Linked DNA regions of Notamacropus eugenii. Each later gene encodes a partner of the first gene's protein in a complex. Links are inferred from orthologs where the notes say so. Each region holds a gene or a part of one and is shown in the gene's direction. Other genes may lie near its edges. The genes, in order: ODAD1 and ODAD4.

Region 1 (11,153 bases):
GGAGAGGCAGCAGAACACCAAGGACAGCACCATGAGGGCCTGCACGGCCTTGAGCCAACCTGGGGAGCAGAGCCGGAGACTCTTAGCTGCCATTCCCTTCCCTACGTCTGCCTGGTTAGACTGGGAGCTCCCAGGGGGCAGCAACCCGGCTCCTTTTGTATTGGCACTCCTGGCCCCCAGCACCATGCTTGGTATAGTAGTGTTTCATAAATGCTATTTCATTCATTCATTTGTTTGCATTGGCCCCACCCTCCTCAGAAGGTGGAATCCCAACCCTGGCTGTCTTGGGGCCTTGGGACTTTGCCCCTCAGAACTGGGGGCTGACCCCTGGGACTGATGTTAATGGGCTGTGGCAATCCAAACCCTTCTGCCCCCCCCTCCATGCAGAGGTGTAGTTGGGTGGGGGGAGCTTTGGGGGGTGCTCTCCCTCACCGTTTTCGCTGACATTTTTGCATTGCCAGATCTCCCGGGAAGATTGGTTCAAATGGGCCAAGCATTCCTTCCAAAGGTTCAGTGAGTCATTCCCAGGGAGAATCCACCATGACTGAGACCAGTCGGGGTCAAAAAAAAAAAAAGGCAGAAGAGAACAAGAATTAGGGACGGGGGAGGGTGGGGGGGAGGGTGGCCGAGGGGCAGAGCCTGCTTGGAAGGAGGGGAATTGATGGGTGGGGTCCTAGGGATTTTCCTTAAACTCCAGTTTGACTGTATCTCTGCCTCCCCCTCAGTGAAGTGTCCGGACTCCTTGGCTCTTGGCTAAAGCTGTCAACCCCTCTGTTCAGCTTTAAGGTCTTTCTCTCGTTGGGATCCCCTCAGGTTATGGGCTCATCATCTTTGCCCTCCCCATCCCTTTCCTGGGGTACATCCCCTTCCTCACATCCTCGGATGTCTTCCCTCTGCGCCCATGGGCAGGGCCCTCCCCCGTATGTACATCCATCTATTGTATGTATGTACAAGTGTGTGTCTGAGTGTGTGTGTGCATGTACCTGTGTGTACCATTGTTTCTGCCATATGCGGTAAGCTCTTTGAAGGCAAGGACATTCACTTTTGTCTCTACCCCAAAGGTGCCTGTATTGAGGTGCATCGCACGGCCAGATGCTTTCGCAGGGGTGGAAAAGGCAGGGAAGGGGGGGGAGCAGGGAGGAAAGCCCTGGGCCGAGCCAGAACACCCCTCCCTGAACCCATAATCTCACCTTGTCCAGGGTGGCCACAAAGAGCAGGATGAGAATGAGGATGTGCAGGGCAGAGACAGCCACCAGGAGCAGGGACATGATGCCCACAGAGTCTGGGGGGAGGGGAGAGCCAGGCTGGCACCTAGGTATGGAGGACACTCCCAAGGGGGGAGTTTAGGGGCATGGCCTGGGGATCTAGCCTGGATATTCCCCAGTGGAGTTGAAGGAGATGCCTGCATCCTCAAAGGATGGGGGGGGGGGGGGCGGGAAGCGTGTGTGGAGTGGAGCTGCAGGGGGATCTTCCCCTCCCACACTCCCTGTGTTTGCACCATCTGGGCCCTCTAAGAACTAGAACCCAGACATGAGGATTGAAACCTGCCCCACCTAGTTCCTCCCCACTAGTCCCCAGTTTGTGAGCTGGAGTGGGGCGCTGCCCTAGGGACTAAGACTCCACTAGGCTCTCCTCCTGTCTTCCCCCGCTCCTTGGTGGGGGTTCAACATGAGTCACTGTGACTCATTCCCTTCTCTCCCACCAGAGAAACCCCAGCCCTGGGGCCTTGCTACTGTCCTCCTCAAGTCATCGCTCGGTCTAGGGCAGGGCAGCCAAACACCTGGGGCCTTTCAGGGCTATGGAAGTGAGATAGAGTGGTAAAGGTCTGGGTGCTAGCAGGACTAAGTGTGGGGATCCCTAGGAGAGCAAAACTGAGGTGTAGGAAGCTTGGGATGCCTGGCTTAGTGCAGGGCAGTTAAGGGAATTAGTTGGGTCTCTTCAGAGAACTGGCCAAGAGGGAGAATTGGGGTCTGGAAGTTAGAACAGGAGAAAGACAGGAAATCCTGAGCTGGGGAGTAAGGGCTGTTAGCTCAGATGTCTGGATCCCCGGAGGAAGGAAGACGAGGCAGGAAGAGACAGCTGGGGTCTTTGGCAGAACACCCTCTACTTCCCCCCACCCCCAGCATCTGTGGGGAAGGGAATGTCCCATATGTGGATCTCAAAGAGTGTTGCCTCTCCCCTCTCCCTGCCCCCTCCCCTTCCTGTCCCCTTCCTCTTCCCTTCCCATACCTACTAAGTGCTTTAGGATTCTCACCTTCTCCTTGGCCAGGTAGAAGGTATCTGGAGGCAGATGGGGTCTTTCCTGTCTCAAAGGCTCCTTTCTTTCTCAAATAACGGAGAAGCACTTAGCCAGCGCAGCCAGAGGAAGTCAGAGCTAATGCTCGGTCCCTTTTCCCGGCCTCCCTGCCCCGCCCTGCTCTCTCCCTCCTTCTCTCCACCTCTTGCCCGGCCCCCGCCTCCCTCCCTTCTTCCTTCCTCTGAAGACCCACTCCCTTCTCAGTACGGTCCAAACCACTCTCTCTCTTCCACCCCGCCTAGGTCTCTGCCTCTCTCTGCATTTCTCTGTCTGTGGGTGTCTCTCCTCTGCCTCTGGGATATATTCTCTAACTTCCTTTTTATTTACAAGCAGGAGAAGCCTGGGAGGGACCCAAGTTTCCATTGAATCATGCACCATCATACTTTCTTTATGTCTCTCTGTCTTTCCCTCTCTGGGTGTCTCTCTGTCTCTGTATCTCTATGTTTGTGTCTTTCAAGTTATTCATTTGTCTACTTCAGCCTTGTGTCTTCCACTTTCTGTCACCACTGCCCCTGATCCCAGGGCTTGCAGAGACTGAGGGCTGGGGAAGGTAGCTGGAAGGTAGGACCTTGACTTGGGAAGCCAACCAGTCAGTAAATGTTTATTAATTACCGACTATGTGCCAGGCACCGTATTAAGGGCTGAGGATGCCCCTCCTCCCGCCAAAAGGCTAAAAGATAGCTTTAGGAGTTTATGATCTAATGGGGGTAGACTACACACAAAAGTATATACAAAGCAAGTTGTAGACAGGATAAGTAGGACATTAACAGGGGAAGGAGCTGGGATTCAGAGGGTTGGGGAAAGCTTTGGGGGAGGTCAGTATCAGAGTGGAGGTGTTGAGGTCAGGAAACCATAGTGTTGAGATTTGGGTGCTCAGGACACCCAAATGAATTCGACCCGAATCTTCTTTCAGCCAAAGTAAAACAAAGTTTATTAAAGATTTGCCATTTTGGGTTGATTCTTAACAAGCCTCTTGTATTGACAAGTGGGCCAGATAGAATCTCAGCGAGATTGAATCTAAGCCAGACTGAATCTGAGCACCTTCATGGAGGTGAGATGGAATTTATATACAGAAAGATTGTGTGAGGGATCTGGCGATGGTCTAGGGTGATGGGAATTGGGGTTTAGGGAGGATCTTGATGGGACTGGGGTGACTGATCAAAAGTGGGAAGCAGGTGAGGCAATCCAGAGGTAACAGGTAATGGAGGGCTGGGCTAGGTGAAGGGTAACGGGCATCTGGGTGTGAAAAGCCAGATTAAGTGGGAAGATTGAAGGAGGTTCCCAGAGTCTACCACATCGTAGGGTGGGGTGTTCCCGGCATGGGAGATAGGCAGAGAGAATGTCTGGAGCCCAGAGATGCAATGTCTTGCTTGGGGAAAACCAGGGTGGCCAGTGACACTGGATTGGAGTATGTATTGGGGAATGAGGTTTAAGGAAGGAGGGCGCCAGGTTGGGACGGGCCTTGATCTCAAGAGGGCTCCGCATTTGACCCTGGAGGTGGATGACAGGGAGCCATTGGAGTTTATTGAATGGAGGAGTGACTTGATCAGATTTGTGTTTGAGGAAAGTCACTTTGTTGAGTGGAGAAGGCAGACCTCCCCCCCAGCAGTTACTGCCATAGTGCCCCCCGCCCCCCGTGGCGTTTCTTTCATTCCAGTGGGGGAGGGGAGAATAACCAATACACAGATAATTCGATCTAAAACACAATACAAGTAATGTGGGTGCAGCAGGGGGGCCGCCGTCTAGGAGCCTCCACCAGCCAGAGGAGCGGGCTTTGGAGGCAGTGACTTCGGAAAGTCCTTCATTTTACGGGCCTTTTTCTTCTCTTTGCACCCGCTGCTCCTGGGGTCCCCCAGCACTGCTCGGTACCCAGGAAGAGGCCCCGGGCTTGATGTGATCTGAAGCTCAGATCTGCCACCGGGCAAAGCTCTGCTCAGATCCGGAACAGAAAGCCAGAGCAGAATTGGAACCCAGGGCCGCCTCTGACTCCAAACCCACGGCTCCTTCCTGGCTAGCAGACCGTGCTTGGCCGAACCGGGAGCCGTGGGCACAAGAGACGGATTTGTAGCCCTGAGAGGGCAGGTGGGAGGTGGGCGCGCCCACCAGGCTAGGGCCAGGAGGGCCCCTCAGGCTGATGCTGAGCCCCGGGAGGAGAGCGAGGAGGCTACTGCTTCCTCCCTCAGGAAACCGCAGGCAGCTTTGGGGCACGCCCTGTGCCGCGGGCGGCCTGGAGCTGGGCTGCAGCCCGCCTTCCTTCGAGGCCCAGCCCCGGGGAGCTGCGGCCTGGCAGCACGTGGAAGGTGGCTCGGGCTGGGGGCGGGGCTCCCTCCCACTGAGGGAATCGGGGAGGAGCCCCGGAGAGAGGCTCCGCCTCCTGCTCCGAGCGGTTCGAGGGCGTTGGTGCTCAGGCGCACTAGGCGGGGGCGCGAGGGAGGGAGGCGGCGGTGAGCAGCTCTCCCTCCGCCCATCTACGCCCCATTTGCCACCCGCAGATTAAGAGCCCTTCTCCCCTTAGCTCCGCCCCCTCGGCAGCTCCTAAGCCCCGCCCCTCACAAGCTCCTCCCTCCCGCCCCAGCCCCTAGTCTGCTGCTCCTGCATCCCTCAAATCCCCCTTGTCCCGCCCCCTTAACTCCTAGCTTCAGCCAAACCCCCATCTTCCTCCCCAAGCCCTCCCACTCAAATCCTCCCGAGTCTCTCCCCTCAGCCCCCACCCCAGTTTCTACTACCCACGTCCCCTTTGTCCCGCCCCCCAGCATCCCCAGCCACACCCTCCCAAAGCTCTCTTAAATCTTCACTCTCCCGCTTGACCCCGCCCCTCACCGCTTTAGCTCCGCCCCCAGGCGGTGCCACGTTCTCCTCTCAGCTCCAGCCCCTTTTTCTCAACCCCGCCCCTCCCCTTGGCTTGCATGCCTCTGCTCCGCCAGCCCGAGGCCCGGGGAGGGGTTTGGAGGAGATCCTCTGAGTCAGCCTCCCCCAGAGGGAGTCGGGGGAGGGCCGAAGGGAGGGAGAAGGAGGGAGGGGGGAGAAAGGGAAAGGGGAAACCCGAGGGAGGAGCGTGAAGGAGGGGCCCCAATCCCCCTCCCCCCCCACCCCGCCTGGGCCAGCTTCCCCAATCCCCGCCGCCGGCCCTGTAGCCCCAGCAACCAGGACCACAACAGAGGGCGTAATCGGGCGAGGCCCGAGTCTAGACCTGTAGGGCCCCCGGTGCCCTTGTGCCCCCCAACTTCCCAACCTGGATCCTCCACTGCCCTCCAAGGGCCGCCCAAGTAGACTTCTCCCCGCAGCCACCATGCCGCTGGCCATCAGCGTGCGCTCGGAGGACAGCGAAGCCTACCTGGATAGCTCCGGTAAGTGCTCGGGCCGGGGGGTCGGAGCGGGGCGCTGGCCCGGCCTCCCTCCAGCTGACCCGGCCCCCGCCTGCCCCCCGCCCTGCAGAGGGGGAGCTGAGCCGCCTGCAGAGACAATGCCGGGTGATGGAGGCGGAGCGGCAGGCTTACGGCCGGGAGATCCAGCAGCTGATCCACAAGCAGATGTGAGCCGGGTGCGGGGGGTGGAGGCTGGCCCAGGGCAGGTGTGCTCGGCGAACGGAGAAGGGCGTTCGTGGCTTAGGGCGCAGGCCAGCTCCAGCTCTCTCGGGCTCCGGCCGCAGGGTGGAGATCCAAAGGCTGCAGCAGGAGCAGACGGAGCTCCGGGTGAAGATGGAGATCTCGCAGAGCCAAGCCCAGAAGCTCCTGGACCAGGCGCGGGAGAAGGACCTTCGAAACCTCCTGGAGCGCAGGCAGCAGCTGTACAAGGAGGTGATCCAGGCGCAGGAGCACCTGAAGAAGCTGGACCAACAGGTGGGGCCGGGGCGGGGGGCAGTGCTGGGCTGGGCCTGCCGGCCAATGGAGGACCCACCGAGTCCCTTCTCCACGGCCCCACGGGGCCCCAGATTGCCAAGTGGGAGAGTCGAGTGTTGCTGCAGCTGAAGGACCTCAGGGGCCCAGGCTTAGTCCTCCAGAGGAAGGCCCGGGACCTCCGAAGAGTGAAGATCTTGGAGAACCAACTAGACCGGGTGGGTGCTCCTGGGGCACTGATGGGGGGGAGGGTCCCAGGAGGCCAACAGAGCTTCTGGTGACCCTGCCATCCTGATGCCCTGCAGGCCACCACCCGCTTTGACACCCAGCTGGTAAGGAACAGAATCCTTCGAGAAGAGCTGGGTTTGCTGCACATCCAGAGAAATCGTTTTCTGTATATCAACCAGCAGCTGAAGAAGGTCAGGCCCCCCAGCCCTAGGCAGAGGGAGGCGGGAGCAGGGCTCAGCTTCTCTCCCTCACCAACTTGTTGCCCATGACCGTGCCCATGCTAAGCAGGAGCTGCAGGACATCCGCTCCACCATTAGATCGCACATAGACGAATCCAACTCAGCCTTTGATGCCAGGTAACCTTTGGCTCTTCCCTGGCGTGCCAGGGGGTGCCCTCTCTGCTCTGGGTGAGTGTGGGTACTGGGTTTGTGACAAGTTGGGGGTGGCTCTGTTGGACTCAGGGAGCCAACCCCCTCCTCTCAGTGTTGCTGGGATTGACTCCTGAGACCCTGGGCAGCACCAAGTTCCTTCCCTCTAGATGTCTCTGGAACCCTCTTTAAGACTGAGAGAACCAGCCCTCTCTATTAGGCACCTCTGCGACCCTGCCTGGTGTGCAGTCAACAGGCCCTTCAAGTCTGTTGTCTGGGATGTTCCCTGTCCTCTCCAGGGCAAGGGAGCCAGGCCCCTCCATGTTTTTGGTACAGTCCCTGTCTAGGACTGAGGAAACCAACTCTAACCTACACTAGGCTCATCTAGGTTCTCTGTTGGGGCCAGGATTGAGGGTACAGCCCCTCCTTGTGTCTTCAGGCAACTTCCTTGAGACCCCATCCAGGGCTGAGGGAGCCAGACTTCCAAGAGGGCCAACCCCATCTGTGCTCTTGTGGCCCCCCCCATGTGTCCCTGTGGGCCCCCCATGTGCTTCTGCATGTTCCCCCAATGTGTCTCTGCAGCCCCCCACATGCCTTTGTGACCCTTCCCCATATGCCTCTGTGCCCCCTCTTGGGCAGGGAGGAAGCCAAGCTGAAGCTGAGCCAGCTGCAGGAGAAGCTAGACAAGGACATAAGTCAGTACAATGCTGAGCTGCAGGTGGTGCAGAGGCAGATTTGCCACCTCGAGCAGCTGCACAACTTCCTGGTTACCAAGAACCAGGAGAGACTTGTGGATGCTGAGGTCATGGAGGCCCGACGCAAGCGGGGTGAGGGCCAGGGGACCACAGATTTCCCCTCCATTTAGCATAGAGAGAAATCAAGACCCAGATGAAAGCACAAGGGCATGTGCCTTCTTTAGATGTTGTCATGTCCACCCTCCTCCCCATTGGATGGTGAGGGAAACTGAGGACTGGAAGGGGTAGGGGCATATAATACCTAGGTCAGAGGCCTTTCTTTGTCTGAATGCTTCTGCAGAAGCAGCTTCCCGTGGCCAGAGGGGGAGCTAAGAGAAAGGGTCCCAGGGGCCTGAGGAACCAGTCCTCCCTGAGAGGAAACTGTACAGGAAAAGAGAGGAGTGAGAAGGAAGGGTGGCTGCCAGGACAGAAGAGGGCCGCTGACCAGTGGGGCTCCCAACAGAACACGAAGTGGCCGCAGGCCTCCGCAAGACCTCACACGAGAAGGCTATTTTGCAGTATGAGGAGGTGCTGGAAAAGCTGGGCCAGATCACGGGCCAGAGCAACGCCGAGGACATTTTGCAGATATATTTGGAAAGTAAGGGGTGGAGGGCCGGGTGGGCGGCAGCCTCGGGCAGCCCCATGGCAGAGCAGCTGCTCCACCTGGCCTCCTGAGATCATGCCTCCTCTCCAACTCCCCCCTTCCTGGCTCAGCTCCAACTTGGCCTCCTTAGATCCCTCCCTCCCTCCCTTTGGCTCTGTCTGTCCTTCTCTTCTCCCCTCATTCTTTGCCTTAGTCTCTCCCCTTTGACTTCCCCTTGATCCCCTTTGCTCTTTTTTTCTAGTTCCCTATCTACTCCATCTCTCTTCCCTCTCTTTCTCTCTCTCTCTCTGGCTCTCTGCAATCTCCCTCTCTCTCTCTTCTACTCACCTCAGATGAGGAAAGAAACTTTGCTGAGTTCACCTTTATCAATGAGCAGAACTCAGAGATGGAGAAGCTCAAGGAGGAGATCCAGGAGGTGAGTCCCACCCCTGTTCCCTTATGGGAGCCTCGAGTTGACTCCCCCCATGGCTCAGGCTCCTCATCTGTAAAATGGGAACACAACTCCCCCTCCTTCCCAGTTCTGTGCTGACAAAGGACCCTTAGGACCTTACCGAATTCCTGAGTATTGTGGCTCTGGTCTCTAGATTCAGGATGCCCTGGCTCAGTTGACCTTGGCCCAGGAAGAGGCTGACAAGGGAGCCAAGCGTCAGCAGCTTGATGCCCTGGAGCAGCGAAAGGTGGATTTGGCTAAGGAGGCCGAGGTGGTGGAGGTCAAGCACAGCAATCTGACCAAGATCCTAGAGCAGCTCAAGTCCGGTGAGGGACCCCAGGACCTAGGTGACCTCTGGCCAAGTCCCCAACCCCTTCTCAGCAGAAGGGCACACAGACTTGGAGGAGGGGGCTCAGGGAAAGGCGATTGAGGAGGAGATGAGAGGAGTCAGGAGCTGAGAGGGGACTGAAGGGAGGGAGGGACCACCCCGGTCAGGGCTGTCCAGGCCCTTACTGACCCCACCCTCCCCACCCTGGCCCCACTCTGCAGCCATCCAGTCTTTGTTCTACAAGGCCAAGTGTGACGACACCAAGCTCAAGGAGCTCCTGGGAGGCAGCCACATGGGGAACAAGATTGTGGAGCTGCTTCTCAGCCTCACTGAGCAGCGAGTGATTGACCTGCTGGCCACCCAGGCCTTCACTAACTCGGTGGGCAAAGTCTCCCCCCCCACCCCCCACCCCCGTTGTCCTGGGGAGCTGAGCCTGAGTGCCCCTGCTGATCCCTGCCCTTGCCCTCCCTCAGGAATCCAGTACCTACAACCCCAAGTCCACCGCCCTCAGGCTCCTGGGCCAGAGTGAGGATGCCATCCCCAAGAAACTTGTTCCACCGCAGGCCCCCAGCAACATGTGAGATGCTGACTGTGATACCAGGGGCTCAGATATGGGAACAAAGGAGGGGAGGCCCTAGGGGAGGATTCTGGAATGGAGGGATGGAGGAAAGATTGAGCCTCACAGAGACCTGGAGAGATACTGGGCACTTTGGAGGGCAGAGCAGAGTCATGGGAGGCGGGTAGAGATTTGGGAAGGCCACAAAGAATGAGGGGCAGGATGAGAGGGACAGAGAGCTGGGCAGGATGAGAGGGACAGAGAGCTGGGCTGTATAGGAACAAAGGTCCTCTGGGGGACAGTCAGGGAAAGGGGAAATGTAAGGTTGTGAGGGGAGGGCCAGACTCCAGTATGGCTGAGGTGGGCCCTTTTATCCTAGGGACGATCCCATGGGGCTGGAGCAGATGGATGAACGGCCCTTGACTCGGGAGGAGATTTTAGCCATGGTCTTGAAGGCGGTGAGAAGTGGGGGCCTTGGGGGAGTCTGTGGGAGGCCCTTCCCCCTGCCTCTGGTCCCCAAGCACCCTGTCTGTTCCATCCCCCCCCATCCTAGCTCCTATCCTCCTCCCTCCCTTCTCACCCTGGCCAACCCCTCCACCTTACCTCCCTCATACCTCTTCCCCACCACCTCCAGGGTCCTCTTGACCCTCTTTATTGCCCCCTCCCCCATCCCCTCTGCATGCCCTCACCTTCCTGTGACTGCCTTTTCCTTTCTCTTTCAATGAAGTACAGATGCAGGAACGAGAACAGGTCAAGGAACAGTCGCCCATGTCGATGCCACCGAGCAAGAGGGCATCAGAAAAACCTTTGTAGGCCAAGATGCAACCTCCAAGCATTTAACCTTGCCTGGCTTAGAGATCCTGTCCTCTCTGTTGCTCACCTCTCCCTGCCCCCCACCCCCCACAAGAAGGGCTTCCAACTTTCTGTCTGTCTCTTCAGCCCTGGGAGTCCTTGGCTGTCCATATATCTAGGGGCATCACAGTCTTTTGGTGGTTGTGCCTCTCCCTTTCCTGAATTTTTGCTTCCTTCCATCCCTTCCCAAGTTCAGAGTGTAGTGGAGGCCTGGGTGGAGACTGGGGGGGAGGGGGGGGTCCAGTGATGCTGTGACCTTGGGAATAAAAGGTACTTGCCCCAATGGGGCCTGTGAGGCTGCTTTCTTCTGTATATTACAAATCACTTTCAATTCAGTTATCAATAAGTACCTACTAAGTGCCAGACTATGGGACAATAGCAGAGGGGTTTTTGTTTAGTTTTTTAAGATCAGTCCCTGCCTCCCTAGTACAAAGGCCTTGGGGTCTGTCATGATATCATGCAGGAGCCAGTAGTTGAACCACAGAATTATTGGAGGACTTCTATTGGTAGAAGGGGCATGTTTGGCCTGAGGGGGCAGGGGAGGGCAGGTGGGAGAATTGTCTTGAAGTATTTTCATAAATTGTCATGGGGAAGAGGGATAGGACAATGAGGGGAAGTTATAAAGAGACTAAGACTTGATGTCAGGAAAAATGTCTCTACAAAGAGAGCTGCCACGCCCCCATCCTCCCTGGAGTGGATTGCCTGGGAAGGTGAGGACTCCTCGGAGATTTTCATGTATGTTATAGTGGGAACTCCTTGGAAGTATGAGTCACATGAGATGGCCACCAAGATGCCTTCCAACACTTAGATCTGTAGTAACAGATGATACCAGCTGCCTGTAATTACCCGCTGAGCAGGGCAAGCCACTGCCATCAGCCACTGACCACCAATTCCTCTTGGTCCCTGCTAGGAACAGCCTGA
Region 2 (11,004 bases), on another chromosome or scaffold:
CAACCTTACCATGCATCTTCTCAACTGCTCCATTCCAATGGAACACCTGACTTGCCCACCATCTTGCTTCCAATTCCTACCTTAGCCTTTGCACTGGACCCTTCCCTCATGCCTCTCCTCACCCTCACATCTTGGAACCCTTAATTCCCTTCAAGACTCAGCTCAAATCTGCCTCCTTCAAGGTATACCTCCTATCCTCTCAGGCATTTATTCCTCCTCCGCCTCTCCCACTTCCTCCCAACATCATTGTGGACGTATTTAGTGCACATGTACTCTGTGCATATTGTATCCCTGCCCTCTCCCACAACAGAACCTGGGCTCCTTGAGGGTAGAGACTAACATGTTTGCATTTGTATATGCCACACAAAGCACAGAGTAGTGCTTGTGAATTCATTCAGACAGACCAGCCTCTGTCTGTCTGACCGACACCGGTCCCCCGGTTCCCCCATCCTCAGAAAAAGCTCAGAAAAGACTGTTATCTAATAATAATTATTCTTGTCTCTCTGACAAGGGTGCTTTCCTATTCCACTGACACCCGCCTCCCACCCTCAATATGGAGGCAGCTGACCTGGCTAATGAGCCAGGGGTGGTCCTGCAGCAGGTGGGACCAGTCGGTGTCAGGGGTGACCCGAGCATACTTGAATCGGTTCTGGATCGCCGATGTGGTGCAGATGTACTTGTAGAGAAGCTCCTTTCCCGTCTGTTCCGATATTGCCTTGGCTGACATGGCTGTAAGAGGGACAGACGCTGCCTGCCCAACAGAAGGCCCCTGGTCAAAGAAGAGGCAGTAAAGAACCTACCTTCAACTCTCACTCACCCCCAAACCTCTGTAGTCTCATGGCTTGGGACTCCCAGATAAAGACCCTTGTTTAGTTCCAGCTGGGTAGAGCCATTTGCCATTATGGCTCCAACTCCCCCCTCCAAACACACCAGAACAGATGACCTTGGCATCTCTCAGAGGAAGAGCAGAAAAAGGCTCCAAGGGGGATAAAGTGAAATTTTCCCTAATACTAGGGAAGGATAAGAGATGCCAGAAGAATGAAACCATGGAGGAAGTCAGGGATAGCTCTTCTCTGAGGAACTAATTTCAGCTCTGCTTTCACTCCAGGCTGGCAAAGAAACCTTACATTCCCATCACATCTTGTGGATGATGGGGAGGCGGGTATGAGAATGGGCAGCTAGCCCTTTTTGGTGTGTATCCTGATCTGGTGAAACTTGTGGACACTTTTGTGTTCTTAAGTATAAAACCTAAAATACACAAGATTACAAGGGAATTCACTTACATGGAATATTATCAAATGAATAATTATAAATTAAATAATATTAAATATTAAAATAACTAAAACATTAACGAAATAATTAACAAAATATTAAATAACTATACGTTCATAGAACCCAGGTTAAGAACTCTTGAGATGGGGGGATTCAGATACAACACAGGAAAACTCCTGTGACCCCAATTTACTCATCATACACACACAGCTCCCCAATCTCTAGTGCACCCAACTAGAATTGCACAATTTCCTTCTAGATTTCTTTCTGAACCACTTGTCACAACTCTACTCCCCAAAGAAGCTCCATCTATCACCCCAGGATTCTGTCTTTCTCACTATAAGACAGAGTGAAGTATTTGTGGGCTGGCAATCAGAAGGCCTGAGGTAGCCCACTTCCAACACATATTCCAAAATCAGACCCTCCTTCCAGAATATTCTTATTATACAAAGGAGGAAACCAGTGGGCCAGGTAGAACAATGAGCCTATTAGCCTCCCAGCCAGGTCTTTTAGCTGCAGTAATTGTGCATCTCAGGAACTCCACACATACCAGTCCACCAACTAAGGGCTCATGAGCAAGTCACTCCATCCCTGTGGGCCTCATTTTCCCCAGATGTAAAACAAGAATGGGATGGACCAGATGATCTCCAAAGCTCCCCTGAGGCTCTAAAGAAACTTATTTCAGCTGGGATGCTGGGGACCCTACAGAAGGAGACCTCCTGTCACTGACAGAAACAAGTGAATTTTTTATTTTTAGGAACCCCAAATCTCAACCTCCTCCTCTCAACTCCAGAAAGTGAACAAAACCCTGATCAAGATTTCTCCATTCATTTATCCTCCGTCCCTTGTCCAATCCTGTCCTGTACTCCCATAAGGCAGTACAAGTAACAGGCTGGGTCAAAGGGAGGCAGAGGTCAATGGAGAAAGAAAAAAAGATAACGGAGTGGGGAGAGAAACATATAGTCAGGACTTCTGCCATGCCTGGATAAGTGAGATTAAAAAGAAAACAAGGCTTTCTTCCCTTGGACACATAAAGATCAGGAAAGGTAATGTTATGTTTGTTGGGGAAAATGTCAAGGTTAGTGGCTTCTGGTCAGTGTTAGTCTGGGTTTTTGAAGGTCTTGCCGTGTCTGGAATTTTGTCCCCATCCAAGAATCAGAAGAGAAGCAGGTTAATGAGAGAGGCTCTTGTCTGAAAGTCAGCCAACCCAGCCCCTGCCCCCTTGTCCTTTCCCTTCTCCACTTATGGAGAATGAATAGCTTTCTCCACCCCCCCGCCCCCCCCATCCTTTTTAATTTTATCTTACTTGTATTGAAATCTTTTGTTTTTACCTTCCTGACCCAGGGAAGCATTTTTCCTATAAGACATCCAGATACTCCCCCCTCAAAAAATACACCTCTGCAATGGAAGGAGGGAAATACATTTTGTCAACTCAGGAAATTTAGCTCCTTTTAAAATTCTAATCTGGATCCTGCTATGTGGCCTAAAATAGATTAATCTTGCTGGGTCTCAGTCACTCAATCTATAAAATGGGTGCAATCAGATTGAGCTCTCAGTGCTACAGAAAAGAACCAGCAGGTATGGCAGTGAGAACAATTGGAGATCTTTTCATTTCTGGAACTGCCTTGGAGCCCCTAGCTGCTTCTTCTTAATTTGGGGCTGATTCTTCTGACTTCCCAGACCAGCCCCTCCAACCCTCATCTCCACCTCTACCTACCCCAGTTCTCAAAGACAATTTCCCAATCTTCTTGACTCTGGGACCAGAAAAACTGGTCTTGAAGTAGAATGCGCCACACCTCCCGTTTTCACCTTAAATGAAGCCAGGGGCAGACAAATGCCATGGTGGGGATGGAGGTGGAAAGTTAATTCTATCGTCCCTTCTCACTTCTCATCCCCAAGATGAATTTGGGAAACATGTCCTTGTAACAGTATCACTGATGCTCAACATCTCAGACATACCTAAGTGACCATTAGGGGTAAAACAGTAGACAGCAGAATACAATCATTTGGGAAATACTTTAGAAGTCTGTCATTCTAATCCCTTCACTCAAATAATTTCCATTAGCAAAATTGTAGTAGAGGAGCAGACACAGATGATCTGTTTGCCAAAAATTAACAGGTTTTGGTGACTGGGACTCACAGAACAAGAAAAAAAAACACATTGAATAAATAATAGATGGCAAGAGGAAAAAATTACTAATTACTAAGGACATTCTTCAGACAATGAGGAAAGGTGTTCACACAACTAAGAGAGGAGAGGGGGCAGTTAAGTCATCTCCTACGGATTGGGTCATACCCCATTCTTCTACCAAACCCAATCATGATTCTGCATCTCTGATTTTCAAACAAGGTCCTAAAGGAAGACCTGTAGGTCAGAGCTTGCAAATCCCAGATCTGGGATCAGATACCTAAAGGGGACATCTCAGGAGAAACAGAAAGGAGATGGTAATGTGGGGAGCTGTATTCACACCCAGGGCATTTTTTCCAAATGCAAGGTAGGTCCTTCCAGCCTGAGACAGGGAGTCTACTAGTTACTGCAGTACAGGAACTGGTGTTTATTCACTCACTGTTCATAAAGAAAGGCAAAGCCAAACATGGTAACTGAAGCCAGTGTACTTTAAAACCCAGAATCTTAGAGTTAGAAGGAATTAACTGGTTCTTTGTATCTTGCCAGGGCTGAAGGGCCTAGGTTAAATAAGTTCACCAACCACAGCTGAAGCCACCAGAGAGAGAGCTTCAGCCAACTATCCCGGAAATCGAATTCTCAATTTCAAATGAATTTCAATTTCAGATTCAGGTGGTGGGGGTGGGAATGGAGTTAGTGGTTCAGAGGATTTACCACTAAAGCCCCAGGAACCTATTACAACAAAGAAAGGTATTGGCTAATAAACAGAAGGGTGATTTATAGACCACTTAGGGAAAGGGGTTATACTCATTTCTATGTAAAAAGATGAATAACAGGAGAATCAAAACCCACTCCTCACCAAGGATCCTAGCAAATTAAAGTTCAGACACATCTTATTTTAAGACAGAAGGAAGTACCCTACAGCCTAGTTCCCCATCTAGATAAGTATCAGCTCTCCCAATCAGAGAAAAATGGGAGAGCCAGTAGAAGGAACAGGATAAGAAATGAGAAAGCCCTAAAAAGGTCTTTTCTTCGAGTGTGACTTGAGAGAGAAATTTTACCCTCTATTTCCCCAAGGGGAGTCTGAACAGGGTTTTTGACCACAAGCCCAAAACAGAACTAGTAGTAGTCCATTTCAGGGTCCCCTTTTGAGGACCTAATACATAGGACATCATATATGTTATGTGGTGAGACACTCAAATTAGCTGAAAAGCTCTTATTACCTCTACTTTCTCTCCCCTAAACTAGTATCACTCCAAAGACCCTAAGGCCTTTCCTGAGATCTTAAAGCCTGTGCCACTGTCACTGGGGATCCCCTATGACTGAGGCCTTCTAGGAGAGGTGCCAGCATGAGATTCACCAGGAGGTGGGTGTGCCTCTCTCTAACTCACCAACGCAGAAGGGACTAGGAAAGGGAGCTAAAGCAGAGCATAAATTAAAAGGAAGGGGGTTGGAATCACGTTAAAAGGTGGTCAGAAATAAGAACCCTCAACCTCCTCCCAGAAGCTTATCTGCCCCCTGTTTTTTTTTTTTTGCCGTAGCCTAACATCCAAACCCTCAGATTCAATCTGGTCATCGGTAACCACCTTCCAAAGAAGGGTTCACGTGGAGTGGAGAGCCCAGAACTCCTATGTGGTACATTGTACTAGCCAACATTTGGGGAGGGGAGTTCAGGGAAGAGTGGATCCCCATCAGCAATGCCCTCTCCTCCCGCTCCAACCAGACTAGGGGAAGAAAAGGAGGGGATGGGAGTGGGGGGAGGTCCTCCAGCCATTCCGACCATCTGGATGGATGGAGCAGCCCGCACGAGATGGCATCACGTTAACACCTAATCCCCCCCAGCTCCACCCACTCCAGCCATGAAGACCCCACCTCCCAAGGTCCTTTCCAACAAACCAAGACCTGGGAGAACTCAGCGACACCCCGAGGGAGTCACAGAACCGCGCCCACCCGCCAGACCCTACGACCCTTACAGGTTTAAGGGGGTTCGAAGCCCTAAGCCCACGCTGGAGGGGGAGGGCTGTAAAGATCACCGGGGGGGGGGGGGGGGGGGCAGGTTCTCTGGACTTGCTCGAGCTGGCCGCGCTTTTCCCATTTCCTTTCCTCCAGGCTCGGGTCATCTCCGGGTGCCCGGCTCCCTGGGTGTGGAAGCGGGGTAGGAGTGGTGGCGGAGCCCCGGCTGGGAATAAAACCGGGTAGCGACAGGTGCCGGGGAGGGGGCGCGGAGGCGGGAAGAAGGGCAAACACCAGGTCCGGGGGAAGAAACCGGGGCAAAGCCTGGAGATGCGAGTGCGCGCGCGTATGCGTGGATGGCCGGCTTGTTGGGGGAGGGGGACAGCGTGCTGACCATGGCCGCGGACCGTGCAAAGAGAACCCGGGAAAGGCGATCCGAAGCGCCGAACAAGCTAACTTCCAGGGCGAAGGGGGCACAGGATGCGACCATCCTAAGGCTAAAGGGGAGGGGGGGAGCGGGCGGACTGGTGAAGGGATCCCTGCCGCGGCCCACGCGGCCGTCTCCGACTCACCTCTGCGCGGCCGCCTCTCGGTAGTGGTCCCTCCGAAGGCCTACTTGCAGCCCTTAGTCTTCCTGCGCGCCCCTAAGAACTTGTGCCTGCAGAAGCCGCCCCAGCCCCGGCTTTTGTCCGGGGCCTAGCCAGGCTCCTCCCCGCCCCCCACCCCCTTCCATCTGCTCATGGCTGGCGGATCCCGGGGATTGGCCACACGTGTCTCCTAGCCTGTTCCTGAGACTCTCTTCCTATTCGCTGTCCGACTCCGGCCCCGCCCCCGGAGGCAGACTTGAGGGTTCCTGGGACTTGTAGTCCTGTTTTCCCCGCGGGCCATTGGCGAGCCGCCTCGGAGCCTCGCTCCGCCCCTCCCAATTTCGGTTCCGCCTTCGCCTTTCCTGACCTCCCAGACGCTCCCTCCTTCCCCACAAGTCACTGAACAGTCCTGCGCCTCCGCCCTCCCTCCCTCCCCTATCAGGGGGCGGGGCCATCGGTGGGGAGATGGGCGGGGCCGACTCTCGGAGGATAGGGTGCCACGCGTGCGGGCGGTGGGCTGTGGCCCGATGCCTGGGCGGGGCCGGTAGCCATGGGGATCCTACCAGCGGGTATGTGGGGGAAGAGGGGCTTCTGAAGGGGTACCGATCGGGGCTGGCCCCTCCCACCCTGCATCCTGGCGGCTCTAAAGCCCTCCAGTCCCGGCCTTGCCTAGCAAGTCGTGAGCCCCCTCGGGTTACTGGGTAAGGCTGCGAGCCACAGCTGCAGTCAGGTCAGATCTGTCCAGGTAGGGTGCAGTGGGGGAGGGGATCCTGGGCTGCATCCGTGCCGGAGGGGGAGTCTTCACACACTGCTTTCCCTTCCCCCCTCCTCCCGCCCCTCTAGGAGGGCGAGGGGGGAGGAGAGCCCAGGTAGACGGAGAGGAGAACCTGAGGCATTAAATCAAAATATTTCGATTAAATTAAATTAACTAATTCAAATAAATTATAATATAATAAAAATATAATAATTATAATAATTTAATTAATTTATTTTCGATTTAATTAATTCGATTAATTTAAAGAGTAGCGATATGGGGTCGCCCAGCACTAGAATCTACTGATTTCTTTGTGTGTGTGTATATGTGTATATATACATACATATATATAAAATGCCTTTTAAAAAATGTAAGAGGAGTAGTCTTTGTTCTCTTAAGAAGGTGCCAATAAGCATGCTAATACTGGAGTTTTTAAGTTTTTAAAACTTGAAGGTGGACAAGTTTATGATATCACAAAGAAGTGTCTGAAATTATTGAGTATAGCTCCTACATAAATTCATCCTCTTTTTGGCAAAAACATTTCTAATTGAAGTCACCAAAAGCAAGAGTAATGTGTCAGATTTGTTCTGGCATTAAATACAGAAGTCTATTCTAACATACTGTGGGTAAACAAGGTCAAGGTTTGAGTCATTCCTGTTGAATAGGGCATGATCTGCTACCATCACCGTCAGTTGGCACTTGCTTCTGACTGACCAGACTGAAGGGTACAAACTCAAAGTTGAACAGAGTATCCTAAAATCTGTTATATTTCTCAACAGCATTGATTTTAAGTATAATGTAATAAGTTAATTTTTGAAATTAAAAAGAATTGCAACTTATAAAATTGAAATAACTTCAAAACAGTTGTAGATGATTTGTTGACATTTTCAACAATTACATTTAAATTGTGTAAAGTATCTCAGAAAGTGTAGTGACAATTTTGAGGTTTTTTGTTTGTTTTTTAAAAGTAAGCATTGCTAATATAAAGTCTGGAAATTACTGCTCTATAGTGGGAAAAGTAAACTCATCAGATTGATGGTGGGGGAGTCCCCTGATCAGGTCCCTCTTAGGTAATGTTTCCTGAAAAAAATTCAAGTGGGAGCCTTAGGATCATCTCATCCAAATCTCTGATTTATATGGCCTTAAGAGGAATGTCTCTCATTTAGGAGAAGGTACCATCATCAAAGGATCATAAGTTTAGCTCTGGAAAGAATTTTAAAGGCCATCTAGTCTAACTCTTTTATTTTGTAAAGAACTAAGGCATAAAGAGGTTAAATGTATTTCCTAAAATCACAGAGGTAATAAATGACAAAAGTAACACTCAAATTTACATCCTGGGTCCCCAAAACCAATGTACTTTCTACTGTACCAAAACTACTTCACTAGGGCTCCCTCCTCCTCCAGCCCAGTGTCTCTCCCTAACTATGCCATGACCCCAGGAAGCTGTGGAGCCCAGAACTAACATTCAATCATTAGTTCAAAGGAGGTCAGTCCAGACTTCCAAAGCATTGTCGTGTTTCCATCCTCTCTGCCTCAGCCACCAAGGTGCCAGACATCAAGTTTTGCAATGGTTCCCAAGAGTAAACAGTTTCCCTGGCCCATCCCCTATCCAGTTTCAAGTCAGGCGGGAAGCAGGTGGACAAGGCTGCTTCTTTACCTGTCCTGCCCACACCCTAGACAACTGAATTACTGATGATGTCATTGATATTCTCCCAATGATCTTTAATCATATCCTTTTAGAAAGTGCTCCTTCCCATACTCCTGTTCTTCCTGCCAGAACCAACTATAGAGATAAAAAGGGAACATGGAAAGGCTAGAGAGCTTCTAGGCATCTATGCTCTTCTCATTTTGGAGCAGTATATTTCCGACCATGATGTCCATTCCTCTATCTGGCCTTTCTCCTTTCCCGTTACCTTAGTATAGTCCTCATTACCATACTCTTTGGACAATGTCAAGAGCCTCCTGAAAGGTCTCATATCTGTTCTTTTCCTTCCCTTGGCCCAAAATGGTCTTTTATACAGATGCAGGAATAATTTTTCTTTCCAACCATATCATTCTTCTGCTAAAAAAAAAAAAAGGCTCCTCTTTCTCCTCCTCTTCCTCACTATCACCACCATCTTCTTCCTCCTTCGCTGCTGCTTCTCTCCCCTCCCCTCTCCCCCCAACCCAGTTCCCTTGGAACAGACCATCCTGGTGCCTCTTTTGTGAGCTACGGTTGAGGAGACCCCCGGATTAGCCATGGCAGACAAAAAACCGAAGGAAGGAGTCAAGACTGAAAACAACAACCATATTAATTTGAAAGTGGCAGGGCAAGATGGTTTGGTGGTACAATTTAAGGTTAAGAGGTGCACACCACTTAGTAAACTAATGAAAGCCTATTATGAACAACAGGGTTTGTCAGTGAGGCACATCAGATTCTGATTTGATGGGCAACCAATCAATGAAACAGACAAACCTGCACTGTTGGAAATGGAGGATGAAGATATAATTAATTGATGAATTCCCGCAGCAAACAGGGTGATTACAAAAAAAAGAATCTACACCTCTACTCCAGAACTGTGCTCCCAAGGAAAACAATACATCCATAATTAGAAAACCAAGGTTTGGTTCAAACACATCCTGACTACTGCAGTATAGTTTTCCCTCTTCTTTGATTCCCTTCCCCCATTCCTTTATTGTACATAAAGTAGTTGGTGTGTGTGCACAGGCAAAATGCTATTTTTTTAAACTAAATGGTTAATGGTATGTTTTGATCAACTTCAAATGGAGATGAGGAGGGGGAAAAGCAAACTGGTTCTGTGAAAATACCCCTTTTCTCCATTAGTGGCATGCTCATTCAACTTTTATCTTTATATTCCAGTAAGTTATTTTGCTCTCACTGTTTAACAACAACAACAAAAAAAACCTATCAAAAAATCCTTGCATACCTTGTTTGGTTGGATAATTTCAATGTTTTTCTTTTATCATTGTAAAATCAAGGGCAATTTTATAACATTTTTGTATGTAGCTGTTACATGTAGGGCAATCTCTGAATCTCAGTAGGGATAAACTACTCTAAAGAAATTGATTCTAGATAGTTTTCCCTTTCCCTTCAAGTAAAACATCTTGTTGTTTAAATACACTTTTTATTTGAAATAAACTGTTTTCTTTAATTATTCTCAAGAAAAAATTTTTAAAAAATTTACAAAGCTTCAGTGGTTCCCTGTCACCTTTTGAGCAGTATTCAAACTACTTTGTCTGGCATTCAAAGCCCTTCCCCACTAAGTACTGTTTTACCTTTCCAGCCGTACCTCATGGTCATACCCCTTTAGTCACTCTGTGCCACACTGCTCTCCTATTTCCAAGCTAATGCCCTTGCTATTCCAGATTCCTCTCCTCTTTACTTATTAAATCCATACCATCCTTTAAAGCCCAGCTCAAAGCTACTACTTTCATGAAGCCCTTCCCTCGTCCCTACTTCTAATTTGCAGGTAAGGTCTTTCCTCCTCACACTTCACATTGCACTTTTCTTTTTGTCCCTCTAATGCCTTATCCTTTAATGTACATTTTGATTATTTGTTTTTGTGACTCATCCCTCTACTACATAGGAAGGTCCAGGTAGGGATTCTATTTTAAAATAAAATTTTGGCTCCTCACCAGTGATTGGTGAAAGGGCTTAATGTTGTTCACACTTCATTTCTGAAGAGGAACAATGACACCATGATGTGATGGCTGATATCTTGACTTTCAAGTGAATTGGATTTAAGTGGGGTAGAGTTGCACAACATCCTCAGCCTTGCTCTCTCTTCCAGAGTCAATGAAGTTCAGTGGCAGGATAGAAGTCAAGACAACTGGTGATGGCCCAGGATGCAGTGGATAATCCACAGGGCCTGCTTCAGCCACTTTCGTGGCCATTGGAATAAATTGTTCTCATTTGCCAGTTCCCCCAGAGGAAGTCTTCACATGCTTGGGGTAGACATCCCCTTAACTCATCAATATGTGTGTGGCATGTTGGTTATGATTAATAAAAGTTTGTTGGATGAATCCTACTGAATTCCTGGGGTTTGCAGTCAAGGTGATTTCGTGGATTCATTGAGGACATTTCCAAAACTCAGACGTTTCCTATAAAGGAAGCTACAAAACAGAGATCTGCTATGCAATATTCTCTAAGCTGAGGGTTTTTAACTTCTTTGTGTAACGGACTTCTTTGGCTATTGGCTTTGGCTAAAAGTCTATTAACTCCTCAGAATCACATTTTTAAATGCATAAGATAAAATATATAGGATTGCAAAAGAAACCAATCATAATGAAATGAAGATGTGATTTTTTTTTGT

Evidence for each region.
Region 2: ODAD1 (region 1) and ODAD4 share a complex: the UniProt entries of both Homo sapiens proteins name them as parts of the outer dynein arm-docking complex. The link is inferred for Notamacropus eugenii from reciprocal best matches to the Homo sapiens genes ODAD1 and ODAD4.

The regions. Positions count from the first base shown.
Region 1 is NC_092876.1:12,892,609-12,903,761, forward strand, and holds ODAD1 (outer dynein arm-docking complex subunit 1), read left to right. Parts: upstream 1-5,383; 5' UTR 5,384-5,585; coding exon 5,586-6,350; intron 6,351-6,437; coding exon 6,438-6,551; intron 6,552-6,648; coding exon 6,649-6,716; intron 6,717-7,367; coding exon 7,368-7,555; intron 7,556-7,925; coding exon 7,926-8,060; intron 8,061-8,398; coding exon 8,399-8,481; intron 8,482-8,650; coding exon 8,651-8,822; intron 8,823-9,045; coding exon 9,046-9,203; intron 9,204-9,297; coding exon 9,298-9,401; intron 9,402-9,759; coding exon 9,760-9,838; intron 9,839-10,112; coding exon 10,113-10,193; 3' UTR 10,194-10,864; downstream 10,865-11,153. Other genes in the region: EMP3 (epithelial membrane protein 3), read right to left, coding at 1-59, 433-544, 1,191-1,268. UniProt on the Homo sapiens protein: Component of the outer dynein arm-docking complex (ODA-DC) that mediates outer dynein arms (ODA) binding onto the doublet microtubule. Involved in mediating assembly of both ODAs and their axonemal docking complex onto ciliary microtubules.
Region 2 is NC_092873.1:358,360,889-358,371,892, forward strand, and holds the start of ODAD4 (outer dynein arm-docking complex subunit 4), read left to right. Parts: upstream 1-5,269; 5' UTR 5,270-5,372; intron 5,373-5,922; exon of another isoform or gene 5,923-6,100; intron 6,101-6,406; exon of another isoform or gene 6,407-6,506; intron 6,507-11,004. Other genes in the region: ACLY (ATP-citrate synthase), read right to left, coding at 569-727. UniProt on the Homo sapiens protein: Component of the outer dynein arm-docking complex (ODA-DC) that mediates outer dynein arms (ODA) binding onto the doublet microtubule. Plays an essential role for the assembly of ODA-DC and for the docking of ODA in ciliary axoneme.